2 linked regions of the Sus scrofa genome follow. The protein of the gene in region 2 interacts with the protein of the main gene of each other region in a biochemical or structural test. Links are inferred from orthologs where the notes say so. Each region holds a gene or a part of one and is shown on either strand. Other genes may lie near its edges.

Region 1 (3,810 bases), on a different chromosome or scaffold from region 2:
CTGAGCCATGAAAGGAACTCCTTTTTTTTTTTTTTTTTTCTGGAGGAGGCATTTGATTTTCTCACACAGGCACCCCAGGAAAAGACTATGCTGGCAGAGGTGGTGTTCCCTTCTAAAAGATTTCTTTCTTTTCTTGACTCTTATCCAAAGATTGAAAGAAGCCATAAGTATAAGCAAAGACCAGGAGGCACGGTTCCAGGCCAGCCACCCAAACCTCAGGAGGCTGAATGACTCAGGTCAGTGGGCTTGCTTTCCTACCTAACACTTGGGTTGGGTGGAGGGAGCACCTGCTGGGTGAGGGAGGCGGAGAGGAGGAAGTGGGAGCCTGCACTGCAGCTCTGAGCTGAGTGTGAAAGGCTGCTTGCAGGGAAACCCCTGTGGTAAGTGGAGTCATAGCCCCTAAAACATCCATACCCCAGCCCCAGGCCCTGGGAACATCAGGTCATGTAGCAAAGGGGGTTGTGGGTACAAAGGGAGCACAGTTGCCCAACTTGAGGTGAAAAGATGATCCTGGGTTTTCCAGGTGGACCCAGTAAAACCGCAAGGCTGCCCTGCACGTGCGAAGGAGGCAGTAAAGAGGGAGATTGGAAGGTGAAGGCAGGGCCCCTGGCTGAGGCGTGGCCTCCAGGAGCCATAGGAGGTGGGGGCAGATTCTCCCTGAGAATCTCTAGCCAGAGGCCAGCCCAGTGAGCCCCAGGTTGCAGCTCTGGCCTCCAGAACTGAAGGTGGTCTATGGGGGTTTGCTGTGGTGGCCCTCAAGCCCGGGCAGATGGGAGTGCAGGGTAGAATCTGTTTTGTGTCAGGTCATCCTGTCAGTATCAAATGACAAGCCCAGAACCAGCCATTATCTGGAAAGGAGTGGAGGCATCCTGGGGGCTTCTTTGGACCCCTAGAGAGCCAGGCCCATCACAAATAGCCAGGTGCCCCCTGCCATGTGATTGACACAGCCGAGGGGAGGCCTGGTGGAGGAGGCATTGGAGAGAGACAGAGCTATCTGGAAAGGCCAAAGCCACAGAGGAAGTGAGAGAACTAAAGTGCATAACACAGCCAGCTCGTTGTGCCCAAGGGAGTGGAGTAGAGCCCTGCACCGAAAGACAATTTTAAGGAACTAAAAGGAGTTTCATTTGTAGGGTGTGTATTAGCTTAAGAGAATTGGTGAAGCAAAAAAACAAAACAAAACAAAACAAAACAAAAAAAACAGGCTTGTGTAAATCGTGCTGGGGGGGAAATACAGCAAATCTAGAAAGAGATATTCCCCAGAAGATGTGAACTGGCCTGACAGGGCTTTCTTGTGTGAACTCAGGAGCTGAAGGTCAGGAGGATTCTTGGGGCAAATGTGCATCATCTGACATTCCTCTTTCCTGAGCCGTGAGGTTTTGCCTGATGCAACACCACTGCTATGTCATTACATGTGTCAATCTGTCTCTTTTCCTGTGCACCAGGGGCTGACCAGGCCCTCCAGAGGTTGGAGGTCTTTGATCTCCGAAGGGTAGGCCCCCAGGAAGCATCTCTCCCTTCCCCACAAGCCTGCCAGGGCTCCTTCCCCTCCCCCAACCCACTCCCACAGCCATCGCTCTGGCCTTAGAACTGACCATTATAGTCCTTCCACCTGTTTCCCAGACTAAGATTTTGTAAAGCAGCATTTCAAGGGATGTCAGTTAACCCATCTCCTGGTGTCTTCTTGTGAATCCAGACTGCATCCCTGGAGGGGCTGGATCTGCTGTGAGCTCTGAGGCGTATCCAAAGAACCCTCACCTCCAAGCCTATCATCAGAAAATCGACAGCAATCTGGGTAAGACGGGGCACCACCACGTTCAAGGTTCACCTGCCCGGGGCAGCGTGTGCCCAGCCCACTGGCGTCTGCCTCTGTCTCCCCTCTCAGCAAATCCAAGAGTCATGACCACTCCCCCCTGATCTCTGGAGCCTGTCCACTTGTCTTTGTCTCCACCTCTCCTCTGTCTGCTTGTCTCCGTCTCTACCTCTCTTCTGTCCACTTGTTTCCATCCCCACCTCTCATCTGCCTGCTTGCTTCAGTTCCCTGGACTCTGCCCTAGAGCCCAGGTGGAAGGGATGTCTGCGGATCTGGCCACTCCAACATGGGACGCTAGCGAGTCCACCAACCCCTAAACAAAATTTCCCCACCAGGAAAGGGTGTCATTGATGCCTGATGGGGAAATATCAGGGAGTGGAATTCAGGAATTGGGGGAGGGAGGCAGGAAGAAGGCTAAGTAGAGCCCACTGGGGGTGTGCAGGGAGTCCTCAAACCTGCAGCACTGGCCAGCACACAGTGGCCCAAAGGAGGGCTGTGTGGACCTCAGGGACCCCGGGACAGCTGTCCACAGTCTCTGCTAGCGAGGCCATACCACTACCCTGGGCACAATTCCTCTCCCTCCTGGCACACCCATCTTTGTCAGGGACCCTTGCCACATGGCCCTGCTTGTCAGGCTTTTCACCCCGGCACAGCCTCTTGCCTGTCCCAGCTGCTGGATCCTGGGGTAACCCATGGAGCTCAAGGCACAGGCTTCAGTCAAGCATAGAACTAAAGGCAGAGGCTTTAGGAAGCATAGAACTGAAGACTACCTTTTTTGAAAAAAACCTGATTCTAGAGTTTCTGTTGTGGCTCAGTGGTAACAAACCCAGCTAGTATCCATGAGGATGGCGGTTCGATCCTTGGCCTCACTTAATGGGTTAAGGATCCGGTGTTGCCGTGAGCTGCTGTGTAGTCTGCAGATTCTGCTTGGATCCAGCATTGCTGTGACTGTGGCATAGGCCAACAGCTGTAGCTCCAATTCAGCCCCTAGCCTGGGAACCTCCATGTATCACAGTTGTGGCCCTAAAAAAAATTTTTTTTGTCCTTTTAGGGCCACACATATGGCAGTCCCCAAGCTAGGGGTCCAATCGGAGGTACAGCTTCCAGCCTACACCACAGCTCAGGGCAATGCCGGATCCTTAACCCACTGAGCAAGGCCAGGGATCAAACCGCCATCCTCATGGATACTAGTTGGGTTTGTTAGCTGCTGAGCCACAATGGGAACGCCTAAAAATTTTTTTTAATTAATTTAAAAACCTGATTCTGCTTAGATTCGTAAAGCCACTGCTAGGGATTCATATATTTTGACCCTTTAAAAAAAAAAAAAAAACACACACACACACAATGTGCATAAATTCCTGGCCAGGGATTGAACCCAAACCACAGCAGTGACAATACCAGATCCTTAACCCACTGAGCCACCAGGGAACCCCATGCTTAGCTGTCTTTATGTTACTGTGCTGTGGAAGCCCTTCAAATACTCCTGAGGCTGACCACGTCCTTATAGGCATTGTTCCTTATGGACATTTTGTTGAACTTGAACTTAAGCAGTTGTCACCTGACTGTTGAACTTAAGCAGTTGAACTTAAGCAGTTGTCAGAAGAACCTTTGGGAGTTCCTATCGTGGCTCAGCAGTTAATGAACCCAATTAGCATCCATAAGGACTTGGGTTCGATCCCTGGCCTCACTCAGTGGGTTAATGATCTGGGGTTGTCGTGAGCTGTGGTGTAGGTTGCAGATGCGGCTCAGATCCCGAGTTGCTATGGCTGTGACTGTGGCTGGCGGCTACAGCTCCAATTGGACCCCTGGCTGGGGAACCTCTATAATGCCATGGATGCAGCCCTAAAAAGACAAAAAGACCAAGAAAAAAAAAAAAAAAGAACCTTTGCCAAAAGTAGTGCACTCCAGGAGTTCCTGTTGTGGCTCAGTAGTTAACGAATTACTAGGAACCATGAGGTTGTAGGTTCAATCCCTGGCCTCACTCAGTGGGTTAAGGATCC
Region 2 (3,203 bases):
CAGCCCGCTCCCTCCCCCTCTGAGTGAGTCACCACATTCCCCTGCGAGGTGTCACGGGCCCGGGGGGGGGCGGGGGGAGGTCGGCTTCTCCCATCGGGTGGGGCGCTGGTGATTAACCAGGCTGTTTCCATTTGGGGAGGCCCCGCCCCATGGAGCCGGGTTCCCTCGGGAACCACAGCCCCGGTGACCTGAGGCCGCCTCAGGGTGTGGGGGACAGCCCACCTGCATCTTGCGGAGGCTGGGGAAGTCGCCGGGGGAGATCTGATGCTCGCGCTCGATCTTCTGGTAGATCTCGCCCAGGTTGTTGACCAGCTCTTTCTTCTTGCTCTCTTTGCCAAAGACATTGGGCATCTCCTTCTTGAGGGAGCTGATGATGTAGGCGTGGACCTGGGGCAACAGGGACGGGGTGTGCGTCAGGCGCCTCCCGGACACCTTGCTGGGAGCGTGGCCTGCACCCGGGCTGCCCCAGAAAGCTGGGACCAGAACCCGGGACTGCTAACAGCAGCCCAGAGCCCACGTTCTTGCCGTTTCTCCGTGCGCACCTGCCACGCTCCCCGCAAGCCAAGCGGAGCCGCGCCGCGCTGCTTCTACGGGCCTGTGGATGGTTTGGGGACTCCAGCCCGGCCTGTGTGACGCCCTGCTTTATCATCCTGACAGGCTCAGGGGTGACTAAGGACTGGAAAATCCCGCAAGGCTTCTCCCAGATGTTTCCGGCTTTATCTAAACTCAGTACCTTGCTCAGACATTGGCCAAGTCGGGGCGGCGCAGCCTTCCCGTCCTCACAGCGCACCGGGAACGCTGGCAACCCTGCGAGGCCTGGCCCTCAAAGCCCTCCGCCTTGCCAAGCACCGTCCAGCCGTGGAGAGCTGCCGCTCTGCCCCATCAAAGCCCCTCCACCGGCCTGACCCCACCTGCCTGGGCTGGGAGCCTGGCCGAGCACTATCCTGTCCCAAAGACACAGGCATAGCTCTGCCCGTCACAGGCCAGCAGAGAGAGCGACTCACTCCAGGAAGTGGAAACAGTCTCGAAACAGCAGGTGCAGGACAGGACTGGAGAGGACGGGGCTTTCCAGGCACCGTGACTCAGTGTGCCCGGGGGCCCGGCGCGGACACGCCAGCTCTGAGAGGAAGGAGCAGGGGCCCGAAGTCTGCCCCTCATTCTGTCCTGGAAGGAAGCTGAGCGAGAGCACGGGAGGCCCTGTCAGGAGAGGGGCTGGGCGGGGTGGGCGGGGAGCTGCCTTCCCTGCAGCTGAGCAGAGGCCGGGCCGGGAGACCCACTCTCTCCTCCATTCACCGCCCCTCCCGTTTCAGCTCCTTCGCGGCCAGGAGCGGGTGATGGGGATTTTCGCATGGCTTCCTTTTTTCAGAACTAGCTCCACTCACCAGGAAAGTTCCAGAAGTGAGGTATCTAGAGAAATGTGCAGCCCTGCATCCTCCAGAGTGGGATTCTGCACCTTCACCGTGCATACGGGTCACCAGGGGACCGTGTCCGAATGCAGAGTCTGGTTTGGTAGGGCGGGGGCCTGGGAACCTACTCTTCCAGCAAGTTCCAATCTGCTGGTCCAAGAGCACTCTGGGGAAGTGGGGTGGGGACACAGACTGGGATAAAGGATGCGGGTCACTTCTCTTTTTTTTGGGGGGGGTGCTATTTTAGGGCTGAATCTGCGGCATATGGAGGTTTCCAGGCCAGGGGTTGAACTGGAGCTACAGCCGCCAGCCTACACCACAGCCACAGCAACGCGGATCCGAACCGCATCCTCGACCTACACCACAGCTCACGGCAACACTGGATCCTTAACCCACTGACTGAAGCCAGGGATTTGATCCGCATTCTTATGGATCCCAGGCAGGTTCGTTAACTGCTAAGCCACGAAGGGAACTCTGGGGCCACTTTTCTTTACTCAGGCCAGGGAGTACCCAGAGCTACTTGACCTGGGCCTCAAGATGGCATGGGGTGCCCTGGGCCACCGTTGTTTGGACTATGGCAGAGTCCCCAACCTCTGGGCTACACACAGGCAGGCAGCTAGCTCCCTGGGGGCAGGAGTGTGGCCCATGGGGCTCCTCCCGGCTCTCCCGGGACAGAGCCTGCCCCAAGAGGTTTAGGATGCAGCACTATTCAAAACCACACGTCCTCAGGGGACAGGTCCTGTCCGGGTGTCAGATGGGTCCCCCGTGGCATTAATCTTCCTTTCCCAGCCTCCCCGGGGTCCCACTGAAAAAGCGTGGTCAGGCACTGAGATTCCGACCCCTTGAGCAACTCTGATGCTGTCAGCAGGTGCCAGCAGGCCCTGTGCCTCCACGGAGGAGCAGGGACGGTTTACAATGCCTCTGGGGTGGAGGTCACCCAGTGTCCTCTGTGCTGCAGGCTTGCGTCCCACCTTGCTACCAACTACCTCCTGTCCTGGCTTCAGCATCATCTCACGCCCAGGCCCCCAGTCCGACCCACCCCCCAGGACAGCTCCCCAGTCACCGGCTTCTGCAGCATCCCACCCACGCCTACCCGGAGACAGTACAAATAAGGCAAATAAAGTCCTGCTTTCTTCTTTTTCTTTTCCTTCCTCTTTTTTTTTTTTTTTTGTTTTGTTTTTTAGGGCCGCACCCGCAGCATATGGAGGTTCCCAGGCTAGTGGTCAAATCGGAGCTACAGCTGCCAGCCTACACCACAGCCATAGCAATGCAGGATCCGAGCGGCATCTGTGACCTACACCACGGCTCACAGCAACACCGGATCCTTAACCCACTAAGTGAGGCCAGGGATTGAACCTGTGTCCTTATGGATGCTAGTCTGGTTCTTAACCCACTGAGCCCCAACAGGAATTCCCAGCTGTGCTTTCTTTTTCTTTCTGTGCTCTGCTTTCCCCCGGATAGCTGAGGAGGGCCAGGAGGGGGGGGGACCTGCCCCACCGCATGCCCAGCGCCCTGCCCTATGCTTGCTGAGGGCACGTCCGTGCTCAGCAGACCCCGGGGAGCTCACAGGGCCTCGAGGGACACCCCCGCCCACTCTCCACTTTCCAGGCTGCCCCTTGGGACAGCGGTACCTTCTTGTTTGAGGTTTATGTGTGCCAACAAGAATCTCAGGTGGGAAGAGGCTTGCAGTCAGGGGCACACAGGCTGAGGCAAGGCAGGGCCCCGCATGGCCAGGGGTCTGCAGGGCTGGGCCTTGGGCATCCCAGCCCAGCGCTCCCCCCGGGGTCTACCTTGGCC

What was found.
Region 1: the proteins of EHD1 (region 2) and SNAP29 form a complex in vitro, tested with the Homo sapiens proteins (2 studies listed by BioGRID). The link is inferred for Sus scrofa from reciprocal best matches to the Homo sapiens genes EHD1 and SNAP29.

Annotation. Positions count from the first base shown.
Region 1 is NC_010456.5:50,502,047-50,505,856, forward strand, and holds part of SNAP29 (synaptosomal-associated protein 29), read left to right. Parts: intron 1-150; coding exon 151-236; intron 237-1,693; coding exon 1,694-1,792; intron 1,793-3,810. UniProt on the Homo sapiens protein: SNAREs, soluble N-ethylmaleimide-sensitive factor-attachment protein receptors, are essential proteins for fusion of cellular membranes.
Region 2 is NC_010444.4:7,316,101-7,319,303, reverse strand, and holds part of EHD1 (EH domain-containing protein 1), read right to left. Parts: coding exon 3,197-3,203; intron 388-3,196; coding exon 223-387; intron 1-222. UniProt on the Homo sapiens protein: ATP- and membrane-binding protein that controls membrane reorganization/tubulation upon ATP hydrolysis. In vitro causes vesiculation of endocytic membranes. Acts in early endocytic membrane fusion and membrane trafficking of recycling endosomes.